Oryctolagus cuniculus: one gene and its partners. The protein of the gene in region 1 interacts with the protein of each later gene in a pairwise test. Links are inferred from orthologs where the notes say so. Each region holds a gene or a part of one and is shown in the gene's direction. Other genes may lie near its edges. The genes, in order: ENKD1, PDLIM7, BEGAIN, CEP70, PNMA2 and CDR2.

Evidence for each region.
Region 2: the proteins of ENKD1 (region 1) and PDLIM7 interact in binary tests that used the Homo sapiens proteins (3 or more experiments, as listed by UniProt). The two-hybrid records come from large-scale screens. The link is inferred for Oryctolagus cuniculus from reciprocal best matches to the Homo sapiens genes ENKD1 and PDLIM7.
Region 3: the proteins of ENKD1 (region 1) and BEGAIN interact in binary tests that used the Homo sapiens proteins (3 or more experiments, as listed by UniProt). The two-hybrid records come from large-scale screens. The link is inferred for Oryctolagus cuniculus from reciprocal best matches to the Homo sapiens genes ENKD1 and BEGAIN.
Region 4: the proteins of ENKD1 (region 1) and CEP70 interact in binary tests that used the Homo sapiens proteins (3 or more experiments, as listed by UniProt). The link is inferred for Oryctolagus cuniculus from reciprocal best matches to the Homo sapiens genes ENKD1 and CEP70.
Region 5: the proteins of ENKD1 (region 1) and PNMA2 interact in binary tests that used the Homo sapiens proteins (3 or more experiments, as listed by UniProt). The two-hybrid records come from large-scale screens. The link is inferred for Oryctolagus cuniculus from reciprocal best matches to the Homo sapiens genes ENKD1 and PNMA2.
Region 6: the proteins of ENKD1 (region 1) and CDR2 interact in binary tests that used the Homo sapiens proteins (3 or more experiments, as listed by UniProt). The two-hybrid records come from large-scale screens. The link is inferred for Oryctolagus cuniculus from reciprocal best matches to the Homo sapiens genes ENKD1 and CDR2.

What each region holds. Positions count from the first base shown.
Region 1 is NC_091449.1:50,907,477-50,911,430, reverse strand, and holds the start of ENKD1 (enkurin domain-containing protein 1), read left to right. Parts: upstream 1-1,154; 5' UTR 1,155-1,255; intron 1,256-1,403; 5' UTR 1,404-1,418; coding exon 1,419-1,503; intron 1,504-1,594; coding exon 1,595-1,762; intron 1,763-2,165; coding exon 2,166-2,338; intron 2,339-3,954. Other genes in the region: C18H16orf86 (uncharacterized protein C16orf86 homolog), read right to left, coding at 1-52, 417-625, 823-918. UniProt on the Homo sapiens protein: Microtubule-binding protein which regulates microtubule organization and stability. Promotes the stability of astral microtubules and facilitates the proper orientation of the mitotic spindle.
Region 2 is NC_091437.1:63,482,581-63,486,080, reverse strand, and holds part of PDLIM7 (PDZ and LIM domain protein 7), read left to right. Parts: exon of another isoform or gene 1-173; intron 174-490; coding exon 491-552; intron 553-702; coding exon 703-940; intron 941-1,805; coding exon 1,806-1,986; intron 1,987-3,500. UniProt on the Homo sapiens protein: May function as a scaffold on which the coordinated assembly of proteins can occur. May play a role as an adapter that, via its PDZ domain, localizes LIM-binding proteins to actin filaments of both skeletal muscle and nonmuscle tissues.
Region 3 is NC_091451.1:44,202,508-44,206,517, reverse strand, and holds the start of BEGAIN (brain-enriched guanylate kinase-associated protein), read left to right. Parts: upstream 1-1,210; 5' UTR 1,211-1,929; coding exon 1,930-2,571; intron 2,572-4,010. UniProt on the Homo sapiens protein: May sustain the structure of the postsynaptic density (PSD).
Region 4 is NC_091435.1:143,186,611-143,190,704, forward strand, and holds the start of CEP70 (centrosomal protein of 70 kDa), read left to right. Parts: upstream 1-1,294; 5' UTR 1,295-1,525; exon of another isoform or gene 1,526-2,457; intron 2,458-3,786; 5' UTR 3,787-3,847; coding exon 3,848-3,889; intron 3,890-4,094.
Region 5 is NC_091433.1:47,729,160-47,733,303, forward strand, and holds the start of PNMA2 (paraneoplastic antigen Ma2), read left to right. Parts: upstream 1-1,344; 5' UTR 1,345-1,442; intron 1,443-4,144. Other genes in the region: DPYSL2 (dihydropyrimidinase-related protein 2), read right to left, coding at 660-1,013.
Region 6 is NC_091450.1:16,908,403-16,911,902, forward strand, and holds part of CDR2 (cerebellar degeneration-related protein 2), read left to right. Parts: intron 1-1,394; coding exon 1,395-1,543; intron 1,544-1,801; coding exon 1,802-1,966; intron 1,967-3,500.

The sequences.
Region 1 (3,954 bases):
CTCCGACTCCTCCCTCTGCAGCAGTAGCCCTGGTGACAGCTCAGCTTCAACCCTAGGATGGGCATGGAGACTAGAGCTGGGGAGGCTGGGGGACTGCAGCCAGGGACAAGGGGCCTGCCAAGCCAGCCCCCAGGCCCTAGGCCTAGGGAAGAGCCCTGCCTACCCACCACCCCAGGGCTGGTTACCTGTCCCTTTCCTGGTCAGTGAGGCCCCAGGCCCAACCGGGGCCCAGAGCTCATGTGAGCCAAGTCCTCATCTCCCGTGGTGCTCCCCACAGCAGGAAGCAGAAAGGGTTGAGGGCACTGGTAGTGGGAGGAGACAAGAATCTGCTCTACAGGAGAGCAGGACCTAGAACCCCACTAGGGTGTGAGCCCCACGCCTCAGCCCTGCGGCTCTCTCCCTGGAAGCCTCCTCACTTGACTGGCTTCCTCTTGGGCCCATGACCAGGCCTCATGGGGGAGGCCATAGGCCTGGGGCCTTTCTCCTCTGGTGCTTCCACCTGCGGCTTGAGCGCTCGTTCCTGGAGCTCTGGCTCTGAGGCATGTCCTCTTGGACACCTGTCTGCACCTGGGGTCCTGCAGGCCTCGTAGGCTGGCTCCAGGCACTGAGCTTCCATCACTGGGCACTAGAAGTGACACATAGGCAACTGGTCACCATGGTTAGGTAGAGTCTATAGCCATAAGTCAGCTGGTGCCCAGCATTAGCCACCAAACACGGGGTGGAGGGCACCAGCCCATGCCCAGCCCCAGCTTGGTCATCCGGAGTCCGGTCCCCCAGTGTGGCACGGCCAGGGTGTGAAGGCTTCACAGCCTTGGCCATCACCTCAGAGCGGCCACTGGGTGCCTTCACGAGCTGTGCCGGCCCCACGGCCACCCCTTCCTGGGCTCCTGGCGGCCTCTCCGCCCCTGCCGAGGCCATGGCTGCGCGGGGTCAACGCGTCCTCGCCGGTTACCTACGGAGAGAAGGGAGACGAGCCATGAGGGGCTGCACTGGTGGGCCCTGAGCTGACCACAGAGACTGGCTGGGAAGCGAGCTGCGAAGGGAAATTGGTGGTCGCCCCACCTGCCCTCGGCTGGAACTACAAGCCCCAGAAGGCCTTGCGCCAGGGTCACTGCCCCTGACCTCAGGGACGGAAGCCATTCGTTGCCTGGCAACAGCAACTCCCTTCGCGGTGCTGCAGCTGGCGGCAAAACTGCTAGAGTGAGCCGGGCTCGGGGGTTACCGGGAAGAGGCCGCGAACCCCGAAGGGACGTGGGTTAGCGGCGGGGCGGGAGACGAAGGGGGCCGGGAATGGGGGGCACTGCCATGGTCTGGGTCTAGGTGGAGGGAGGAGGCGCAGGGCTGGGGAAGGGAGTCCCGGGCGGGAGGTGCACAGCCTGGCAGGCCTCGGTGCACCGTTGCAGGGCGTCGAGGACAGCATGTGCGAGGGCCCGTCCCGCATCTCGGGGCCCATCCCCCCAGACCCCACGCTCTGCCCAGACTACTACCGGCGGCCGGCCTCAGGTGAGTCGGGGGTGCTGCGGAGGGGGCAAGGCCCGGGATCGCCTGCCGCTCCACCGCTGAGCTCCGCACTCGGCCCTGTCCCGCCCCTCAGCCCAGGGCCGCCTCGAAGGAAACGCGCTGAAGCCGGACGCCACCCCACCCCGCGGGCCCCGCATCAGGCCCGGAGGCCGAGAGATCTTGGAGCGTGGCTGGCGAGGCGTAGGGGGCGTGCTGCTGCAGCTCGAGGGCATCTCCCTCAGTCCGCGGGTCTCGCCCAAGAGTAAGTCCGGCAGAAGGGGCAGTGAGGCAGTTGGAAATCAAAAGCGGCTGTCCCTTCCCTGACCTGGGCCCAGGCTTTGCCTCTCTTGAGCGTCAGTTTCCCGCGGGAGGGAACCTCATTAATTCATGCATCAAAACGTGTTTCCTGTGTGGCAGGCCTTGTGGGTGCCAGGAAAGCAGGGTCGTAGGCAAGGTGGGAGGCAGTAAGTGAAGACATGAGGCGATCCAGGGTATTTACTGAAAAAATACAGAAAATAACGAGGGGAGATTTACATGCAGGCAGGGGAGCGAGGGGAGGTCTGGTGTGTAGACAGCGTCTGGCAGACACAGAAACCGGGAGATCTTTCTGGAGAGGGCGGGCAGGGAGCTGGTCAGGGCAGAGCCTGGGAGCACCTTTCCCCCAGGGAAGGACCCTAAAGACCATGAGAAGGAGAACCTGAGGCGGATCAAGGAGATCCAGAGACGCTTCCGGGAGCAGGGCCACGGCCGGGAGCAGGGCCAGCCCCAGCCGCTGAAGGCTCTGTGGCGCTCACCCAAGTATGACAAGGTGGAGTCTCGAGTCAAGGCCCAGCTGCAGGTACCCGCCCCAAGGAGCCGAACCCTGGCCTGCACTGTGGGGAGGGAGGCACCTGATGCTGTCATGGCGTGGGGCTGGGGTCACTTCTCAGAAGTGGTCATGGCTATGCTGGTCATGAATGGCAAGTAGGGATTGGGCAAGGGGAGAGTAGTATAGAATATTCCAGAAAGAGGGCGGGCGTGTGGCCTAGTGGTGCAAACGCTGGTTCGGAAGCCTGTATTCCACATCAGGGTGGGTGCTGGGTTCCGTCCCCAGCTGCGGCTCTTTGACCCCAGGGAGGCAGTGGTGAAGGCTGCTCCACCTGAGGGACGTGGGTCGCACTCCTGGTGCCCAGCCTCAGTCATTACAGGCACCTGGGGAGTGAACCAGGCAATGGGAGCTCCGTCTCTCTGCCTCAGGAAAGGAAAAGAAAAAAAAAGCAAAGTGTAATTAAAAGAAAAAAAAATAAAGAACATGCCACAGAGATGGAACCTCACAGGCGGGAGTCCGGAGACCAGCGGGAGCAGGCAGTGAAGGTGCCAGGTTCTCTGCTAGCAGTGTGGCTCCCACTGGGAGAGGGGAAAAGCATGAGGTTAGGCCAGGAAGTCAGCCGGAGCTACGTCATAAAGGACCCCCAAGCCGCTTCCCTTTTTTTCTCCCTCCTCCCCTCCCTTGCTCTCTTTCTCCACTTCTTCCTTCCTCCTCCTTTCCGAGAACCAGAGCGCTCCCATGTGCTGGGTCACTCTCCGAATGCCCACAGTGGCCAGGCCAGGAGCCATCACCACTGCCTCCCAGTGTCTGCATTAGCAGGAAGCTGGGGTCAGCAGCCAGAGCTGGGGATGGAACCTAGGCACTCTGATGTGGAACATGGGGTCTTAACTGTCTAAGCCACTTTCTGGAAAAATTGGATTTATTTGACAGAGAATGCTAGATCCTCCATCCATTGGTTCACTCCACAAATGCCTGCAACAGCTGAGGCTGGGCCAGGCTGAAGCCAGGAAACCAGAACTGAATCCCATATGGGTGGCAGGGACTCAAGTACTTGACCATCACCTGCTACACACACACACATACACAAACATACACACACACAACCCCACACACACCCCAGGATGTATATTAGCAGGAACCTGGAATGAAAAGTGGAGCCCAGACTGGAACCCAGGCACTCTGATAGGGGATGCAGGCATCCTAAGCAATGCCCTTTTTTAATGATTATGGTATTTTCAAAAATGACTGCTTATTTTCATTTACTTGAAAGGCAGATTGAGATATAGAGACAGAAACAAAGGGAGCTTCCATCCTGTGGCTGGGACTGGGCCAGGCAGAAGCCAGGAACCTGGAACTCCATCTGGGTTTCCCTAGTAGAAGGCAGGGTCCCAAGCCCTTGAGCCATCATCTGCTGGCTCTCAGGGTGCAACAGCAGGGAGCTGGACTGGAAGTGAGCAACCAGGACTTCAGCTGGCAGTCTGATATGGGATGCCGACATCTCAAGCGGCAGCTTAACCCACTACACCACCATGGCCACCCCACAGGCAGGGTCTTCACTGCTGTGCCAAATGCCCACCCCGAAGACACTTTTCAAACGCTTACTTTGAGGACAGTGGAAGGGTAGGGCAGGGGTATCATGGTAGGAT
Region 2 (3,500 bases), on another chromosome or scaffold:
TCCAGCTTTGCCTACCCCGCCCATCCCTCTCCTGCCGCTGGCCTGGCCCCGGCAGCCTGCCCAGCACAGGTCCGGCTCCGTCTGGCACTGCCTTCCCTCTTTGCCCTGCAGCCCTGCTGTCTGTCAGGTCTGCACTGCCCTGGGTGTGGAAATAAACGCTCTCAGCCCTGCTTCCTCTGCCTCTGACCTCCATCTTTGTGGGGCTGGTGGGCACGGGGGCAGGGGGGTGGGGGGCGGTTCAGAGCTGGCTCTTGGGGCTGAAGGGAAGTGGGAGCCCTGCTCTGCCTCCCCGCCCTGGACCACAGACCAGCTGGCTGGAACCTGGCTGGGAGACGCTGCCCCTCCCAGCCCTGCCCCAGAGGGACCTGGATCCAGCCCAGTAGCTCTCACGCACCCAGGCATCTCCTGTGGAGCCAGCAGGACCCAGGGTGGGGGTGGGGCCGTGACAGGAGCTTTGGCTAGGCGGGGCTTTGAATGGCAGATCTTACAGCCAGGTGCCCAGGACAGAAATCCCTGCCCCAGCCTCAACTACACCCCAGGAACCCTGGCCTGGTGAGAGAGAATGGGCTTGGGCCTGGGGAAGGGTGGGTAGCCCCTGGGGTTGTGGGGGTGGTGGGCTCTTCTCACCTGCCCCAGGCTTCACCCCCTGTCCTAAGGGGTCCCCGGGCACCTCTGTGGAGCCACTTTCCTTGGCCTTGGCAGGCCCTACCACCCCCAGCGCTACCAGCCGCCCACCCTGGGCCGTGGACCCTGCATTTGCTGAGCGCTACGCCCCGGACAAAACAAGCACGGTGCTGACCCGGCACAGCCAACCGGCCACGCCCACGCCTCTGCAGAACCGCACCTCCATCGTGCAGGCTGCTGCTGGAGGGGGCACCGGAGGGGGCGGTGGCAGCAATGGCAAGACTCCTGTGTGCCACCAGTGCCACAAGGTCATCCGGTGGGTGACCCTGTTCCTCTCCTGCCTTGACCTTTCCTGTCCCAAAGCCTGATCCTGGCCCAGCTGCCCACTCTTCTGGCTTCAGCAGCCACGGGAGCAAGATAAGATTCTAGTTCCCAGGGGGAGTGGGGGAGGGACCTGTCCTGGCTCCTCAGGTTCTCAGTCCCGCAGTCCATATCCCACACACACACCTCACTGGCATCAGCCACTAGCCAGCCGCATCTGGGGACGTGACCGCAGGTGCCAGTGTGGTCCCAAAGCTCACTGCTGTCCTGGCAGAGAAGGGCCAGCGAGGCAGCCACCTGTCTCTCCTTCCTGCTCGTTCAGTGGCGGCTCACCTCTGCCCTCAGAGCGCATGGCCAGTCAGTGTACCAGATTCTAGAACCTTCCTTCTTCTCAGCCCTGGCCTGCTCTTGACTCCCATCAGCTTGTAGGCAGAGACTCCGCAAAGCGCTTTGCCTTTCAAACACATGTTTAGTTGGGACCAGCAGGCCAAGGTGGGCAGGCAGGCCGGACAGGGTGGGCACGGGGGTGTCTGCCCATGTTATTGCTTGGCCCTCCGGGCTTTCCGCTCCCAGGGCACCAGCTCCTCAGGGTGGTCTCCTTAGGCTCAGGTCATCAGCCGCACCCAGGTCTCTTCTGTCATCAGTCAGCACAGGGCAACCACAGAGCTGGTCCCTTCACGCTTCGTCCCGCCTTGCCGTGGGACCTGGGGCAGGCCACTTCCGGTGCTTGTCTTTGCTGTCCTAGTTGGGAAATGGGGAAAATGAGGTTTGCTACCTGGTGCTTCCAGTGGGTGACCAGTAAGCCCGTGGGGCGCGTTCTCGTCCCACACTGCCTCTCACTGCCCTGCCCTCCCCCTCAGGGGCCGCTACCTGGTGGCGCTGGGCCATGCGTACCACCCCGAGGAGTTTGTGTGCAGCCAGTGTGGGAAGGTCCTGGAAGAGGGCGGCTTCTTTGAGGAAAAGGGTGCTATCTTCTGCCCGCCGTGCTACGACGTGCGCTATGCTCCCAGCTGTGCCAAGTGCAAGAAGAAGATTACAGGCGTGAGTGGGGCTGGTGGGCGGGCAGGGGTGGGCTAGGAAGGAAAGCACACCTGTTGGTGTGGAAAAAATGGTGAGCAGCCTGAGCCTCTGTGAGCCCTTTGGCTTCTTAACGGCCTAAGAAGTGGCCGCCCTTGACATTAGCTAGAATCTTCTTAACAAATGACCAAAATCCTCCTGGCTCAGACAAATCCCTGCAAAGCCCAGGGCGCCAGCTTCAGACCTGGCTGAATCTGGACACCAGTGTCAGAGGACTCTGTCTCTTGTTTTCATCTGCGTTCACTTCCTCTCCTGGAAGGCAGCAAAGATGGTGCCACAGTGTCCCCATGGGTGACACCGCCCCAGCTTAATTAGCACCACAGACTGAAAGACAGCACCTGAACCAAGCCCTGGGACTCTGATTGGCCAGGCCTGCGTTATGCCCATCCCTGGAGCTGAGGGTGAACCCCAGATAGAGAATGAGGGAGGAGTGGGTCCCTAAAATCAAGCCAGGAGAACATGACCTAAGAAGGAAGAGCCGGACAGGCCGGAAGCTGCTGCGGGGAGCAGTTGGGTTGCATTTGGCTGCGGTGACAGAAGGCTCCACTGCCGAGACTTGGACAGGGTTATTAGCTCAGGGAGGAGAATCCCAGGGAGGCCTCTAGGAACCTGTTTTCCCCACCTTTTTGTCTGAAATCCTTAGCATGTAGAGAACTTTGTTCAAGTCAATCATTCTAGCAGCTCAAGGTCGAGACCGACATTCTCATCCCAGGCAGGAAGTGGGGAGAGCAACTGGTGTTCCTTTAATGAGGTACTGCCTTTGGAAGAAAAACTGGAGTCTGGAGCTGTTACCCTAGGACTGCCCTGGGCCAGAGGGCCAAGGGATCGGGGTGAGCCTCCACCCTCAGGAAGGGAGGAAGGCAGCAGGGAAGGGGTTTGTGAAAAGTTTCTTTTATCATTATCTTTTTTTTTTAAGATCATCTATTAGAGAGAGAATCTTTCATCCACTGATGTAACTCCTCAAAGGGCAACAAGAGCCAGGGCTGTGCCAGGCAGGAGCCAGGAGCTCCATCCTGGTCTCCCACATGGGTGGCAGGGGCCCAAGCACTTGAGCCATCATCCAACATCTTCCCAAGTGCATTAGCAGGGAGCTGGAATGGAAGAAGGGGCAGCCAGGACTCAAACTGGCACTCAACATGGTGTACCAGCATCGCAGGTGGTGGCTTAGCCCACTGTGCCGTAACGAGGGCCCCTGTGAAAGGTGTTGGAGGCTGATCCACAACACCTGCTCCTCTAGTGCACGACTGGGAGATAACTAAGGGGCTTTATCTGCACAGGACTGGTGAGTAGCAAAGCCAGCAACGCAGGGCTCAAACACCGGTGATCCAAGATCTTTTTCCTCCTGTGGAGGCTGACAGAGCTCAGCCTGTCCCAGCTTCAGACTTGGACTTGAACTTGGACTTGGACATCAAGAGCTGACCTGGCTGGGCCCCTTGCTCGGGTCACATGGACAAGACAGAGTGCACACGAAGGGAGGG
Region 3 (4,010 bases), on another chromosome or scaffold:
TGTCTGCAGCCGCGGAAAGTCAGGGAGAGGCTCGGAGGACCGGCTGGCCAGGCCCCCGGCTCCTGTGACCACGGCTGCCGTGGCCAAGGGCCAGCCGCCTTGTGAGTGCGTGTTGGGGTGAAGCAGATGGATCTCACAGCACCCCTCCAGGCCCCAGGCTGGGCACTGCCGTGGCTCCGCTAGCTGGGGGACGAAGGGCCTAGCGGGGTGTCTGCGAGGGCAGTCCAACTGGGGCCCGCCAGCCTCCAAGCCTCTCCCCCCCAGTGATGGGGGAGGGGCTGAGGGCAGCTGCGGAGGAGGGCGTGTCCAGGTGCCGAGGGGGCGGGCGCTGTGGCCTTCCCAGAGCCTACATCTTCCCCTGTGCCCTTGCTCCGGGGCTGGAGTGGGGGCAGGGTGCCTGTGGGCCCACGGCCTGAAACTGTCATGCGGTTCACCCCATTCATTCATTCCTCCGGGGCTGCGTCCTGAGCCCTGAGGCGCTCCGGGCCCCTGCAGGGAGCAAGCAGGGACTGTAGACTTGGTGGCATGCCAGGGCTGCGGCGGGGGCCCCTGGGCTGATCCGGCACGGGCCCTCGGGGTGCAGAGCAAGGGCCGCGAGCGCAGGCGGGCTCAGCACCCTCGGGAGTGTTGCTGGGAGCCCCCTGGGGGCGGGGATCACGGAGCCTCCCCCGGGCCGGGACTCCCCAAGATGGTGCTGGCCGTGCCTGTGGGATGGCATCCGGGGTACCAGGGTGAACGCAGGCGTCCAGGTGAGACACGGGGGGACCCCGGGGCCAGCAAGGTGCTGGAAGGGAGGGAGGGAGGCGGTCAGGTCTGAGGGCGGCCTGGTGGTCGGGTGGGGCCGGGGTCTCCACGGCTCCCGCTCCTGGACTTCTGCATACCTGCAGTCCGGGGTGTCCAGGGGACCCAGCGAGGGGTCCAGCCGAGCCCAGAGAAGCAGGGCTCTCAGACACTCGTGGGCAGTGTCCTGGCAGGCGCAGGTGCACAGCCACGCTCAGCGGACCCCTCGTGGGCGGGCCTTGCTGGCCCTTCCCTGGGCTAATGCCCCCATCCCACCCCTGTCTAACCACACCCCGAGCTCTGTCCCAGTGTCGCCTGCTCCTCCCAGGGCCTGGCATATGACTGCTAGCCACAAGGGCCAGAAATAACCTTGGCCTAATCAGGGCAGGATGGAGGTAAAGACGTCCTAGGGCAGGTGGTTCGCGCTGCTGCGATGACTCAGCGGTCGTGAGGGATCTGGATTCCTTGTGTCTTTCTGCTCTTCTGTCCTTTATGCTCTTCTATGGCTTCTGTCACAAGTTTGCCTCATGGAGCAGCATGGCTGCCACAGCTCCAAAGTCACCTCCATGCGCCCGAGAAGAAGCAGAAAGATGGGGGATGGGAGTCAAAAGGGCACTGGGCAAGCTGCCTGATGCCTTAGCAGTCACATCCAACCACTGTTTACATCTCATTGGCCACCCCCTTGCTGCAAAGGAACCTGGGAATTGCAGTCTTGGGCACCCCCGAAGAAAACGAGGAGGTTTGGATCAGATGGGAGCGCAGTAGGCTGCCAGCGTCTCAGCTGCCTGCTCCCATCCTGCTGATTGACAGCTGCCTCTCCGTGCCCAGCACGGCAGCGAGCAGGTGAGGCCCACTGCAGAGCCCAGCGAGGCCGCTGCCTCCCCGGGGCCGAGCCGGGCGCGACCTTCTCAGCTCCAAGGCTGCGCAAGCCCCGAAGCTGAGCTCCCGTTGCGGCGGGATCGATGCCGGGGTGGGCGGCTGCCAGGCCCTCCCACGTGCCCCCGGGATCGATGTGACCGTCCCAGCCAGTGAGGGACAGGTGGCCCCACTCCCAGAGGACGCTCAGATCCCAGCACCACGGAGGGAGGAAGAGGAGTGGGCTCAGCGAGGGGCTCTTGGACACCCGTGACCTTGGCCTGACCAAGGAGGATGCCCTCAGGGGCCAGCTCCCAGGCCCGGGGCCCTGACCCCGCCGGCGGCGCCAGACGGGACGGCCTTGGCTCCCCCGTGAAGCCCAGGACGGAAGCCCCGCTCAAGGCAGCCCGCGGGGACCTTCACAGCCGCAAGCCGAGCCCCAGCCCCGGCCGGAACCCGGAGGACAAGGCGGCTCACCCTCGCTGGGCGGCACGGCCTGGCCGGGAGGGGCCCCGGGGGTCACCCGGCCTGCCCCCCGCCTCCGAGCCCCCCTGTGCAGGCGGCAGGGCTGCCGCGGGCCCCTTGGCACGCCTGGGCCGCCGGCGGGAGGCCAGGTTGCCCTTCTCCAGGTTCCTGGATGAGGTCACGGTGCGGGTGCTGGACCCCGGGACCCTGGAGGCCTTTAGGGGGCCAAGAGGCCGCAGCCAAGAGCCCTCCCCAGCGGACCAGGGCTCTGGCCTGGCGCAGGAGCCCCCGGTGGGGGCTGCCACTCCAGAGGAGACGCACCCAGCCCTGAGCGCCCGGCTCAGCTCAGAGGCGGCTGCTGAGGCTGCGAGGGGAGGGGAGCCGGGCGGGGCCCTGGAGACCAGGGGGCCCTGCGCCGCCGAGGGGAAGCGCGGAGGCCACGCTACCTGCCCCTGGAGGCAGCTGGGCCAGGTGAGTCTCGGCCGGCTGGGCGCCCTCCTCACCCCGCACGTTCACACCCCGCCATGGCATCTGTGCTGGCTCTGGGCTGGGCGGAGTGCACCTGGGTGAACGCTAAGGCTCCTCTCAGCCCCGCCCACTGGCAGAGCCCCCCCCCCCCCCCCCCCCGCTTGCGCATGATGAGCCTGGAAGCACTGGCGCCCCAGGCAGCGGCACAGGAGGCGGGTGGCGCACTAGGGTCCTTCCCGGCTGTCTCCACTTTACGTAGGGGAAGCTGAGTCTCGGGTCAGGGCTGGAGCTTAAGCCTGCTGGGCGTGCACACGCGCACACAGTGCTCGGGCTGATGGGCGGGCGGCTGGCGTGGGGTCTGGAGAGCAGGGATACATGGGCGCAGCTGCGCTGAGCATCAGGGCCCAGGAACCTGCCCAGGATACCCCCGGACCCCTTCAGTGCTGACCCTCTGTGACCCCTGGGGCCAGGGAGGGTCCTCCCAGGCTACCGAGGACGGCGCCCCTACCCTCCTGCCCCCCCGCTTGTGGCCAGGGCCCGGATGGAGGCCGCAGGGCTGGAGGCAGGGGTCCGCCCAGCGCCTCCCAGCGCGGCTCCCTTGTGCAGGGTCTGCTCTGCCAACCAGTCCTGGCGGGGGGCTGAGGCCCGCTGGGCGCTCCGGGAGCTGCTCTAAGCTCCTGCCCCCAGCCTTGCCGCAGCCCCGAGGCACACGCTGTCCCCAGGGCACAGGGGAGCGGATTGAGCGGTCGAGTCGAGGAACCAGGACTGGGCACAGCCAGTCTTAAGCCACCCCCTCAGCGTCCGCCGCCCCCATGACTGCTCTGTCCGGGGAGGGGTCTTACTGGAGGGGGTCTGGCCACTCCCCGCTGCGTGGCCAGCTGGGCTGGGGGTCCGGGCGCGTTGTCTCTCTCTGGGGGGCAGTGGCTGCTATGTGGCTCTGCACGGACTTCAGTTCCCGCAGTGGTGAGAAGGCAGGGGCGAGCGCGCCGTTACTGTGCCACGCCCCCAGCCCTGCACAGGGGCTGCCAGTATGTGAGCCCACCTGCACACCGCGAAGCCCTTCTCTGGGGACCACGAGGCCCCGGGGAGTCCCAGTGACGCCCAGGCCCCCCTGGGGGGGGGTCTCTGCAAGGCTGCTTGCGCAGCCAGGCAGCACGGGGCCTGCTGGTGCCCGGCCACGCTGTCGAGGGGTGGGACTGCACCCTGCGACCTGCCACAGGCGTCCCTCCCAGGGAGCTGGGCCCCCTGAGGCTCCGGGAGTGACTGCCTGGTGCCCCTCCCCGGCCCGCCCCGCCCCCAGGGTGCACAGGCCCCGGGCTGGAGCCAGCCTAGGACAGCGAGGATGGATGTTCCGTCAGACCGGGAACTGAGGCTAGCAGGGTCCTGGCTGGGCCGTGGCTGGCTCGGGGCCCTGGGCGGGTCACACCCCCCAGTGTCTCCAC
Region 4 (4,094 bases), on another chromosome or scaffold:
CTTGAGTTTGAAATTAAACTCTTGCGTTTGCATGAGTGTCGGCTCCTGGTGGTCTTCACTGGTGGGAATCGGTACAACACTTGCACATCGGAATCACCTGGGGAGCTTTACAAACTCTGGATGCCTGGGTCCCCACCTGGAGATCCTGGTGTGATTGTCTGGCGGCCCCTGCATCCGGAGTTTCCCAAGCTCCCCAGGTGATTTTCTTTTTTAAAAGTCTGGCAAGGGGGCCGACGCCACGGCTCACTAGGCTAATCCTCCGCCTTGCAGCGCCAGCACAGCGGGTTCTAGTCCAGGTCGGGGCGCCGGATTCTGTCCCGGTTGCCCCTCTTCCAGGCCAGCTCTCTGCTGTGGCCAGGGAGTGCAGTGGAGGATGGCCCAAGTGCTTGGGCCCTGCACCCCATGGGAGACCAGGATAAGTACCTGGCTCCTGCCATTGGATCAGCGCGGTGCGCCGGCCACGGCGGCCATTGGAGGGTGAACCAACGGCAAAGGAAGACCTTTCTCTCTGTCTCACTGTCCACTCTGCCTGTAAAAAAAAAAAAAAAAAAAAAAAAAAAGTCTGGCAAGGAAGTCGATTGGTCACCGTGAATAAACACCATGAACAGAAGAACTCAAGACATCTCCAAATTTTGGCCCTGGGATTCCAAGGAGAATGACAGGGAGAAGGGGCAAGCCGGAACTAGTGTTTCTAGCTGGAGACCTTTCTGATGGTTCAAACACAAGCCTGAGGCTTCAGAAAGTTTACTGCAGCGCAGGAATAGCTTCCATTAAAAAAAGAGGGGGGGGCGAAATCACACAAAAATCCCGCCACAAAGCCACGAGACACCTGGGATCCCACGGCCACACTGACTGGAAAACCAAGTGTGAGCCCTGATTGCCAGATGCTACGCAGCCCAAGACCCAGTCTCTACAGGGCCCTGGAAAACCACCGTTGTCCCTCAGCGTCCACATCTCTGCATTTTACGGAGCCCGATGTAGGGCCAGACACTTCGTGGCCACCGGGAAAACGCCCAAAGGGAGGGTGAAACGCCAGCCGCTCCGAGGCTCCCCCAGGTCCGGAGCTTCGACACGCCGGCTGCTCCCCCAGCAGGAGCTCGCGGTCCTGGCGAGGGTCCTGCGCAGTGGCCAGGTGCTCCGAGCCTCATTTTCACCTGCGGCCACATATTTGCATATCTGAAATCTCCTGGGGAACCGAGGCCCTCCGTAAGCGAGAGCCCCAGCCAGCGAGAGGCCGTAGAGCGCGACTGAAACGTCAGCGGGCCTATGACAGCCCGCGGTGGTGGTAAGCCCCGCCCCCAGCAGCCGGAGCCAACCAGGGGGCGCGCGGCGGACCCAGCCTCCTCGAGAGGCCGGAGATAATCGCTCAGAAAGTTCCGAGGCAGAGCAGAGGTTTGACCTCGACCCGCTCGGGCTCGATTGGCCAACCTCCACTGGCGTCGGTAACGGTCGCGGAGGCGGGGCCGGAGGCGGTGGAGCGGAGCCAGGCAGGGCCGGGCCGGGCCGGGCCGGGCGGCCGAGGAAGGTGAGTGGCGCTCGGGACTCGGCCTGTGGGCGCCGAGCGTTGCCGGGCGCCCCGGGTGGAGCGGGCTGGGACCGGCTCCAGCAGGCTGTGTGAGGGTTTGGGGATTGGTTAAACCTGCTTCGAGCCCCGGCCCCCCAGCCTTTGTGGTCTTCGGCGTCTCCGTTTGCTCCTGTGTGCAGTCTGCTGCCTTCCAGGGCGGCTGTGGGGGCTAGACGAGGCAGGCAGTGCGGAGCTCAGACTCGGACCCGGCTAGATCAGACTAGACCCTGGCCGAGTCGGCGAAGGGCGGACGGGCGCTGACCGCCGCGGCCCTCGGCGTCCCGGAGTGGGGCAGGTGTCGGCGGAGGGTGCCGGGGACACACGGAGGCGCGTAGCCCGCCTTCTCCGGTTGTCGGGCGCATTCTGGATCCGGGGTGCGCAGGGGATTCTGACTTCACGTGGAGCCTCATGTGATTCTTAAAGGGTGAAAAATCCCCCGAGCTGAGGCACTTGTAACAGTAACGCTTGTAACAGACCAGTCAGCAAGGGTTTCTCATCATAATGTTTGACGCCGTGCAGCCACTGCCCGTGTTGGTCTCAGCCCTCTGCGTGCATTTGTTTTTGTTTTTACTTTGAGTATTGCCAAGCAGAGCAGGCCGCCTCCGCTCCGCTTTTTGGGTACGAGGCGGCTGATTTGGAGTTTCACTGACGGGGTTGCTTCAGAGCGGGGGAGGAGGGTGTTCTGGCCCTCCTTGTAACCTCGCCGGCACAGGATGGTTTGGTTGAGGTGACGTCCGGGCCCAATGGTGGTGGATTCAGTTCGTCCTTTGGAACGTTGGCCTATCTTCGGACTAGTTTGCATTTCATGGAGAACACAGACTTGGAAAGCCGTGCGTGTTCATTTGTTGGAGTGATTTGGAATACGTCCTTCGGAGAAAGTTTATAGATTTTCGGTATGACTCACTTGAGAAAGAAATTACTGGCCATGATCTGTTATTTCCAGCTCTCTTCCCCCCGCCCCCCAAATGGCGAGAAAAATAAGTTTTTTAAGGTTTGATGCATGTTAGGCTATATTATAAGGGACCATTTGACCCAAAAGATTGTTGGGAAACCTGGACAGTGCTGGAAGATACAACTGTGTTTTTGCTTTTCTGTGTTTGGCTATTTTTTTAATGGTTTTTTTTTAATTTATTTTCACTTTATTTATTTGAAAGGCAGAGAAACAGTTTTCATCAGCCGGTTCACTCCCAAATATTCGCAACACTTGGGGCTGGGAGTCAGGTACTCAGTTCAGGTGTTCTGCTTGCGTACCAGGGACCTGATACTTGAGCTAGAACCTGCTGCCTCCCAGTGTGTGTGTGCTAGCAAGAAGCTGGCATAGGTAGGAAAGCCAGCACGTGAACCTGGGCACTCTGCTGTGGGATGCAGGTATGGTAACTGCTGAGCCAAATGCCTGTCCCCTGCTTGTCTGTATGCCAAGTGCAAACCAACTCTCAGCCCCCAAACCTTACTCCTACAGCCTGCCTTTAGTTGTGTTGTGACACTGAGTAGAGCTACAGCCTCGCTTCTGCCCCAGGGAGAGTTTAGTCTCTTCTGTGACTTTCAGCGTTCTGGACTTTTCTCCTCTAACAGCCTGCAGTGGGGAAAAGGCTGCTGCAAACTATCACCACGTTTATTTCACAGACTGGTGTAGGCTGATCCTGCAAGGCCCGCACTGGTGACGGTGCTCTTGACAAGACGCACTCAAGACCAGTTTCTGTGAACATGTCTATTAACGATGAAGCATAAGCTTTTAAAGGGCAGGCAGAGGGGGCGTAGCTAATTCAGGGCAACACTATAGGATAGATCTGATATTGGCGCCACTATGCTTCTCCAATCAGCTTGAAGGTCACATAGCCTAGTAGCCTACCAGGTGGTCCTTATGGGTCTGGGGCACACCCAGGAGTTGTTTACCTATTTGACCCTTTACAAGGTCCTTCACCTGGGAGCAGGGGTCAGGGAAATGTGCCCGGGAGGCATGGTGTGCCATGCCCTCCTAACCTCCTGCTTGGGGTAGGCAGGCAGTCTTCCAGCCAGGCACAGGATCACCCACAAGGGAGAAGAGGAGGGAGGAGGCTTATGATGGTGAGCCAGGAAGGCCATCAGCGCTTACTGTGGCTGTTGGAGTTTCAGCTTAGGGCTTTCCGGCACCATGGACGCTGCGCTGGGAGTAACACAAGACCTTTCTCACTAAGAGGTTGAACTTTCCAAGAGGTTGATCCGTTAATCTTTTTGAACCCTAGATGAAGATCTAGTTTCGCACATGAGACTCACTGGCCGATCGTTTCATTAAGATCATCTTGGATGAGCAGGTGTGACGTGCAGGAGGAAAGAGCTATGGCTGAGGTATGTCTGCCGCAACCGGTGATTCTAGATGTTAGGAGGCCGTGGGAAACATGGACCTGATGTGTACTAAATACTATACTAAACACATTGGGTATACTTCCTTTTGACTCCTGATAATCCTATCAGGTACATATTTTAAACTCAGGCCAAGTAACTGCTTAGATGATTAGCTGTCCTGGACTCTCCTAACCCCTGTCCTGCCTCG
Region 5 (4,144 bases), on another chromosome or scaffold:
CTTTGTTCTCCTCACGGACTATTTAGCAGCGGTTTGGTTTCCACCGGGGGATTCCACGGCCTCCTCACTCTTCTCTCCAGGCAAACAGGAACCAAGCGTGGTGATGCTGCCAGGCGGGCCAGGGAGGCGCTGGCCATGGTCCTGACCTCCGAGCTCGGGACCTGGGCGGAGAGGGCGCCGGAGCAGGTGCGGCGCCGAGCGGCGGTCCGAGCCCTCGCCCCTCCCGACCCCCCGGGAGCCCGCGGGCCTCCACGCCAACCTCCACCGCACGCTCCGAGCTGCATCAAAAAAAGGGTGGGGCTCCCAGCCACAACTGCAACCCGAAGCCGCCGGCCCGGGAGGACTTAAGAAGAATGGAACCGCGGCCCACCCCTCTCCCAGGGCGACCCCCTCTCCTCCCAGACCCCGATCGGCCAGTCCCTGACGCCCATCCACTTCCCAACCCCCGAGCCCGGGGAAGCGCGAGCAGCCTTTGTGGGCGCACGGCCGCCCACCGCCGCGCCCTGCGCGCAGAAGGGGCGGGCAGGGTGGGGTGCGCGTGCGGAGGCGGAGAGGCCGCGGTCGCGGCAGGGCACGAAGGCAGGCGCCCAGGCTGCAGGGGCGAGGGGCGAGCTGGCGCCCGAGCGCCCGCACCCACTTACCTCCCCGCACACACCCACCTGGTCGTAGATGTTCTGTAGGGCTTCCTTGCCCGAGGCCCGCCGTATCTCCACCTTCCTGCCGGATTCAACAGATGGCTCCCCGCCGGCGCGCCGGCCCTGCCGCGAGTACGGCGTCTGAGGGTCCGGGCCCAAGTGGGCGACGTCCCGCTGCTGGGCCACCACCTGCCCCGAGCCCCGGCCCACCGACAGCGAATCGAAGTCGATGGTCTTGTTCTCCGAGGACCCTTCCACCGGGCAGAACATGCCACAGAATTTCTGCCGCGGCTTGGGGCTGCCCGAGCCCAGATTTTTAAAAAAGGCAGGGACCTCTTCGTCCTCTGCCGCCTTCCCGGACTGCTTCCTCTCGGCCATGGCGCGGGGCTGGGGAGGGTCCCGTCCGTGCGTGCGTGCGCTGGTCCTTCAGGCTCCCTCTCCGCGTGCACAGACCGCGCTGCCGCTCTCTGCCCACCGCAAGGTGCACAGAAAGGAAGGCGGGCTGGCGAGCGGGCGACCCACCCTCCCGGCCCCGCCCCCTGACCCCGCTCTCTCCCCTCCCTGCCCACGCCCCCCGCGCAAGCTAGCGGCAAAGTTGAGTCTGGGAGGGCCGCCGCTGCGGCAGCCGGAGCCGAGACGCGGCCGGTTCCCGGCAACGTGGGGCGGGGCGGGGCGCGCGCGGGACCCGGGCGGGGGGGGGGGGGGAGGGCGGCGCCTCGCGGAGCCCCGCGCTCCGGAAGTGAAGCGGCCAGACCCCCGGCTAATGGATGCGGAGCGCAGGGCGCGCTCGCCGCTCTCGGCGCCACCGTAAGTAGCAGGCCGAGCACGCGCGGAGAGGACCCATGGGCGCAGCCCCGGCGCCCCGCTCCCCCGCCACATTGCGGAGTGGGTCGGGGGCGAGGCCGCAGAACTCTCCCCCCCGCCCCGCTCCGTTTTACCCGGGTGGGAGCTGGTGGAGGGGGAAGGGGCGACCAGCTTATTTAGGCACCGGGATTGTCACAGGGAAGGCGTGGCGGAGAGGGTGGCAGTAGGAGTGGGAAAGGTGTGGCGCAGGCGGCGCCGACCGCACCGGGGGACCCCCCAGGCTCGCCGACGCTAGTACTGCCGTGCACCGACGCCGAGGGGGGCGGCAGGAAGCAGAGACCCGCGAGAAGGTTCTCGCAGGTTGCACGTGGTGGAGGGTGCGGAGGCGCAACAAGGCCGGGAGTAAAGCGCAGGGGCGTTGCAAAGTGGAAGACGGGGTAGCGTAGCGAGACGCAGGTGGACGGTTTGTGTGAGCGTAGGCAAGACTGCAGCCTGCACGTGCCAGCCCAGCGGAATCTGCAGAGAGAGGTTGCAGAGTCGCTGTATTGCCTGAGGGCCGCCATGCCGCCTCTGCGCCAAGATTTGGTATCTTCCATCTCCCCCGCCAAAAAAAAAAAAAAAAAAAGGTGGGGGAGAAGCGGGGTGAGGGCCACTCCCTAAGCCTTCAGCCTGCTCCCGCATCCGGGCACTGTGTCTGTGCCCCCTCCCCTCGCCCCTGTTGGCGCAGTGCGCCAGAGCGGCGGGCGGAGGAGGTGCCTCGATCTGTGCGGCGCCCCGCGGAGACCAGGTGCGGACCGCGGCGCCGGCGGCGCGGCTCTCCGGGGCGCATGGCGATTCGTGTGGATGAGGCTGGCCCTGCCATGCTCGTCTCCACGGCCTTCCCCCGTTTCAGCCCCTCCTTTAGCAGTGTGCTGAGGGAGGTCGGCGCTGAGAGAGGCAGCAGACCACGGGCCCGGTGACCGAAGACTCAGCCCGCACCCCCAGAAGGATGAAATTAAACCACGCTTCCCCACAGGGCGAGGCCCGGTCGGTCGGCTGAATAAAGTTTGGAGGAGAACCAGTCAGTCTGTGGGGACGGCGTCTCCGCCAAGTGGGAGGGGCCGAGGAGCCAGGCAGGCATTTTGAATCCCCGCACCAGATGTGCTTTGCATTTGAATAAAGCGCTTCTCTCTGAGTTACATCATTTCCTACTCACCGCAGTCCTGGGAGAGGACGGGTTTTATCACCAGGGCTTTCCAGGTTAGGAAACTGAAATTCAGGGAGATTGGAGGCATGCTGCCCAAATCTAGTGAAATGACCCAGTAATAACAGTGTGGGGGGGGGGTCTTCCGGCTCCAACTGCGGGTGTGGTTCCCTGAAATGTGAAAAAACTCAAGAGTCGGACATTTTTTCCACATCCAGGGGTTTCCATCTGGGGCCCTATTCCACGTTAAATGCATTGCCCTCGCCATCTTTCTAATTGAGGGGCAAGGAGGGATGGCACTTGAGAGAGTGGTCCCAAGGTGACAGCTACGTGGGTCTTAGAGGTGTTGCTTTCTGAGCGTTCAAAGCCTTTCCTCCAAGGGGCAGGAAGGCCAGCCCCATGGTGTAGAAGGGAGAAGTTCATCATGGAAGAGCCAGGAGTCTCCAGCCCCCGGAGCTGCTCAGCGCAGACTTCCCTGGCACCTTCCAGATGGACGCGGTATGTCTGCCGCTGGTATAGCTGCAGGTGACTTCTGTGGCATCTGGACGGCTGATGGAAGTTTTCAGGCCAAAGAGGAAATGATCTTAGCTCCCTGACACACCCTCCCCAGTGCTGATGATCGCAGTCCACAAGCAACAGTGGTGGTCTCCCCAAGAGTGTATCATCATGACCATCCTGGTTTGTGTCAGTCACTCAGTGGTGTTCACCCAAGGTCCAGATCACAGTGCCTTTCTCTGAACAAATCTTCACCACTAAGCCGCACGTGACTGAGGGCATTAGGAACTCTTGCCTCCCCAAGTTCAACGCTGGGAAGAAAGTGTTGTGTTAATAACTTACTCTTATCAGCCCTAAAGGTGTTCATATCTGGCTAAAAAGCCTATGAGAGTATCTCAGGCATGGAAAGCCAAGACACTGTGGCAAAAAATGACCTAAGTAAAAGATCTCTGTGAGTGAGATCCCAGCGGAAAGAATGGGCCGTCAAAGAAGGAGGTACCTTTCCCTGAAGGGAGGAGAGAACTTCCACTTTGATTATGGCCTTGTCTAAATAAGATCAGAGTTGGCGAACTTAAGAGGCTTCCATAGCCTTGGCAGCTCCTGATGACAAGAGCCTTGGGTGACTACTGACGTCATAAATAAGAGTGTCAATTGTTAACAACAGGAGTCACTGTGCACTTACTCCCCATGTAGGACCTCTATCTTTAATGTGTTGTACTATGCGAATTAACAGTAAAACTAGTCTTCAAACAGTACTTTACACTTTGTGTGTCTGTGTGGGTGCAAACTGTTGAAATCTTTACTTAGGATAGAGTTGATCTTCGGTATATAAAGATAATTAAAAATTAAAAATGAATCTTCATGAAGAATGGGGTGGGAGAGGGAGAAGGAAATGGGATGGTTTGCGGGTGGGAAGCTGGGTGTGGTGGGAAGAATCACTATCATATAAAAGTTGTACTTTTGAAATTTATATTTATTAAATAAAAGTTTTCTATTAAAAAGAACTTATTCATAGCACAAAAAAAAA
Region 6 (3,500 bases), on another chromosome or scaffold:
AGAAGCGGGCTGAAGCAGCTCAGCCGGGAAGCCGCCGAGAAGCAGCCTCGGGGCGGGCGCCGGGAAGCCGCAGGGATAAGAGAAACAGAAGTTTTAGAAGTAAAATAAAAGAAAAAGGAATGTTGGTAGACAGACGTAAAATGGGAGAGATAGGAATGCCCGGAGATATAGAGAAAAATAAAGCCTCCCCTCAACATGGCAATGAGAGAGCTTGGATTCGGTCTGCCTGATTAGTAAGGCAGTAAGCACCAGCAGGCGGCTCGACCAGAGTATGAGCCGCAGGTCACCGAAGACAGGCACGTATCAGCGCCTAAAAACCTCCTCACAACATGGCGAAGAGAGGACCCGGATTCGGTTTGCCTGATTGATAGGACTTGTAAGAACCTGTGGCAACTCTAGCAAGTAGAGCAGAGTGTGTGCCGCGGGACACCGAAGACAGGCGCGTATCAACGCCAAAAAATAAAAAGAAAGGGGGATCTGTGGGGAGCAGCTCGGACTAGACTGTTACTGGAATTAAGACTTATTCTATGCACCTGCTCTCCCACAATATGGCGCTGGGAGAGAAGAAAACAGCTTCTACACAGCTGCCTCCAGTTCAACCAATAAACTGTAGGACTTGCTCCTGATTGGAGGAGAGCAGCGTACTCGGCGTGTGGGCAGCCGAGTTGGGATTGGCAGAGGAGGACTATAAAGGAGGAGAGAGACGGCATGCACCAGGAACATCTAAGGGGAACACCTAAGGGGAACACCTGTGCAGCCCCCGAGAGAGCCGGCCGGCGGTGTGCTGCTCCCCTGCGGAAGTGGGGAAAGCAGCCAGGGGGAACTGCCCTTCCACGGAGGTGGAAGGGACAGTAGCCAACCCGGGAAGAACCAGCAGCAAACCCGGGGAGGGCCGAGCAGACAAAAGAACAGCGCAGGGTCCTGTGTCGTTCCTCCACGAAGAGGGGGAGCGACAATGCTGAGGGATTTAAGCATTATAAAGGCTTAGCCTATTCTCGAATCCCATGAAGACAGATAGTTTAATTGGGGTTTATGGTTCTTTTTGTAAAATAAACTGTGGTTTAACAAGATATATATGTGGATATATATATATCTGTCCCTCGTTCTGCCTTAGATTTTGCAGCATGAGCCATCCACAGGACTAGAGGGTTAGAACCATCAGCCTCTGGGCAGGAGAGAAGGGCTAGATTTAGTTGCCACGTGGCCGATGATGCAGTCAACCATGCCTGAGATGAGGCCAAGGGAACCTCTGGGTAGGAGCATGCTGAGCCCCGAGGTGGCAGCCCTGTGCCTGCCCCCGCACCTGCATGAGTGGGTGTCAGAGAAGCAGGGAATGTTGAACACTGCAGGTATTGGCTGTGTGACACCTGGTTCTCAATCATCTTCCCTTACAGTATCTGACCAAGCAGGTGGAGCTTCTACGGCAAATGAATGAGCAGCACGCAAAGGTTTATGAGCAGTTAGATGTCACAGCAAGGGAGCTGGAAGAAACTAATCAAAAGCTGGTTGCTGACAGCAAGGCCTCACAGCAGAAGATCCTGAGGTAAATGCATTTTCTGGAATCTGTTGAGGGAGCTGTAAGGGGCATTTATTAGAAACAACTAGAAGGTAACAGTAGTGAGTGTCGGTCAGTGTGGGGTAAGGCTTCATGTAGTTCTTTTGGAGAGCAGAGACTAAATTCAAGGGAGTTCTCTCAGTTAAGAAAAGCCAGTTTGAGTGGCTAGCAGCTAATCTCTCCTCACTGCTTTCACCTTTAATTTAATATGACAAGGAGAAATTGGCTTCTGTGTATTCCTCACAGCCTGACGGAAACAATCGAGTGCCTACAAACCAACATCGATCACCTTCAGAGCCAAGTGGAGGAGCTGAAGTCGTCTGGCCAAGGGAGGAGGAGCCAGGGGAGAAGTGACCGGGAGAAGTCGGCGCCCAGCTTTGCCTGTCTGAAGGAGCTGTATGACCTCCGCCAGTAAGAGCTACAGGGAATGACTGAGTAACTGACACAGCTGGGCCTCTGGGTCATTAAAGTACCATTTTCGCAAGAGTCGTACTTAGACCACTAGTGGCTTGAACTTAAGCCTACAAATCCCAGAGTTCCTGGGTGTTAGTAAGTTAATTCTGTGGAATCTCATTTTTGAAAGTCTTGAGAGCATTTATTTCAGTATTTTTAACAAATGTTAAATCTTAAAGTAAGTTCTTCTGATAGACCACAGTTTTAGGGGTTGTGTCTCACATTAAAGTGAAGACAAAAAGAAATTGCAGTGAAACAAAATTCTAGACAAACAGAAGGTTTTTTCCTAAAGAAATCTCTTTATAATTCAGAGCTATGAGTTTGAATCCTTAAGCACTGTTTAGTTACCCCCTGTTCCTAGGTGGTGCTGTGCCAGACATGAAGAATGGTGACCAAAATAGATGTAGTTCCTGCCCTCTTGAGTTTTTCAGTCTAATAGAGGCAGATAAGTGATAATGACTAGACCTAAACAGAAGAGAGACCAACTGGGTCATTTGATGCTTCTCAACCTTGGCTGTACCCAGATCACTGGTGTAGTGTTTCAGAATGCAAACAGCAATGCATTCCCCGGGCCTAAATCCGATTTTCTAGGTGTGGGTCAGAAACTACCCCAGCGATTCTCCTGTTCATTCCTGGTTAGAAATCACTTCAGCAATGGTTCCCAACCTTAGCTGCATGTTAGCAATCACTTCAATAGTTGTTTTGTTGTTGTTGTTTGCTTATTTGATGATTTATTTATTTGAAAGAGTGACATGAGGTGGCAGATTTTCCACCCACTGGTTCACTCACTAGTGGCCGCGACAGTTGCAGCTAGGCTGAAGCCAGGAGCCCCGGTCCCCAACATGGGAGACAGGGACCCAAGTACTTTGGTCATCTTCCACTACCTTCCCAGAGGCATTAGCAGAACTGGATGGGGATTGAAGGAGCCAGGACTTGGATGGGTGCTCTAACACGGAATTGCTGTTCTTTAACACCTGCCCTACTTTAAAAACTCAACACCAGGTACCAGGCAAGTAGGTCAGAGTTGATGGGGTAGGACACAGGCATCGGTATTTTTTAAGGCTGCCCTGTGATTCTGATCTGCAGCCGAGACTGAGGACCACTGCGCCATTTCCTTCTGAGGTGGCTGCCTTGCTGTTGGTTCTTAGGAATAGATGCTCTGTGCTACTTTTAATGTTTAAAAAAAAAAAAAAAAGAGGGAGGGGAGTACTGGCACCGTGGTGTAGCTGGTAAAGCCACTGTCTTCAGTGTTGGCATCTCATGGGCACCAGTTTAAGTTCTGGCTGCTCCACTTCCCATCTAGCTCTCTGGTATGGCCTGGGAAAACAGTGGAAGATGGTCCAAGTCCTTGGCCCCTGCACCCATGTGGGAGACCTGGAAGGGGCTCCAGGTACCTGGCTTCAGATCAGCTCAGCTGCAGCCGTTGCGGCCATTTAGGAAGTGAACCAGCGGATGGAAGACCTCTCCCTCCCTCTCTCCCTCTCCCCTCTCC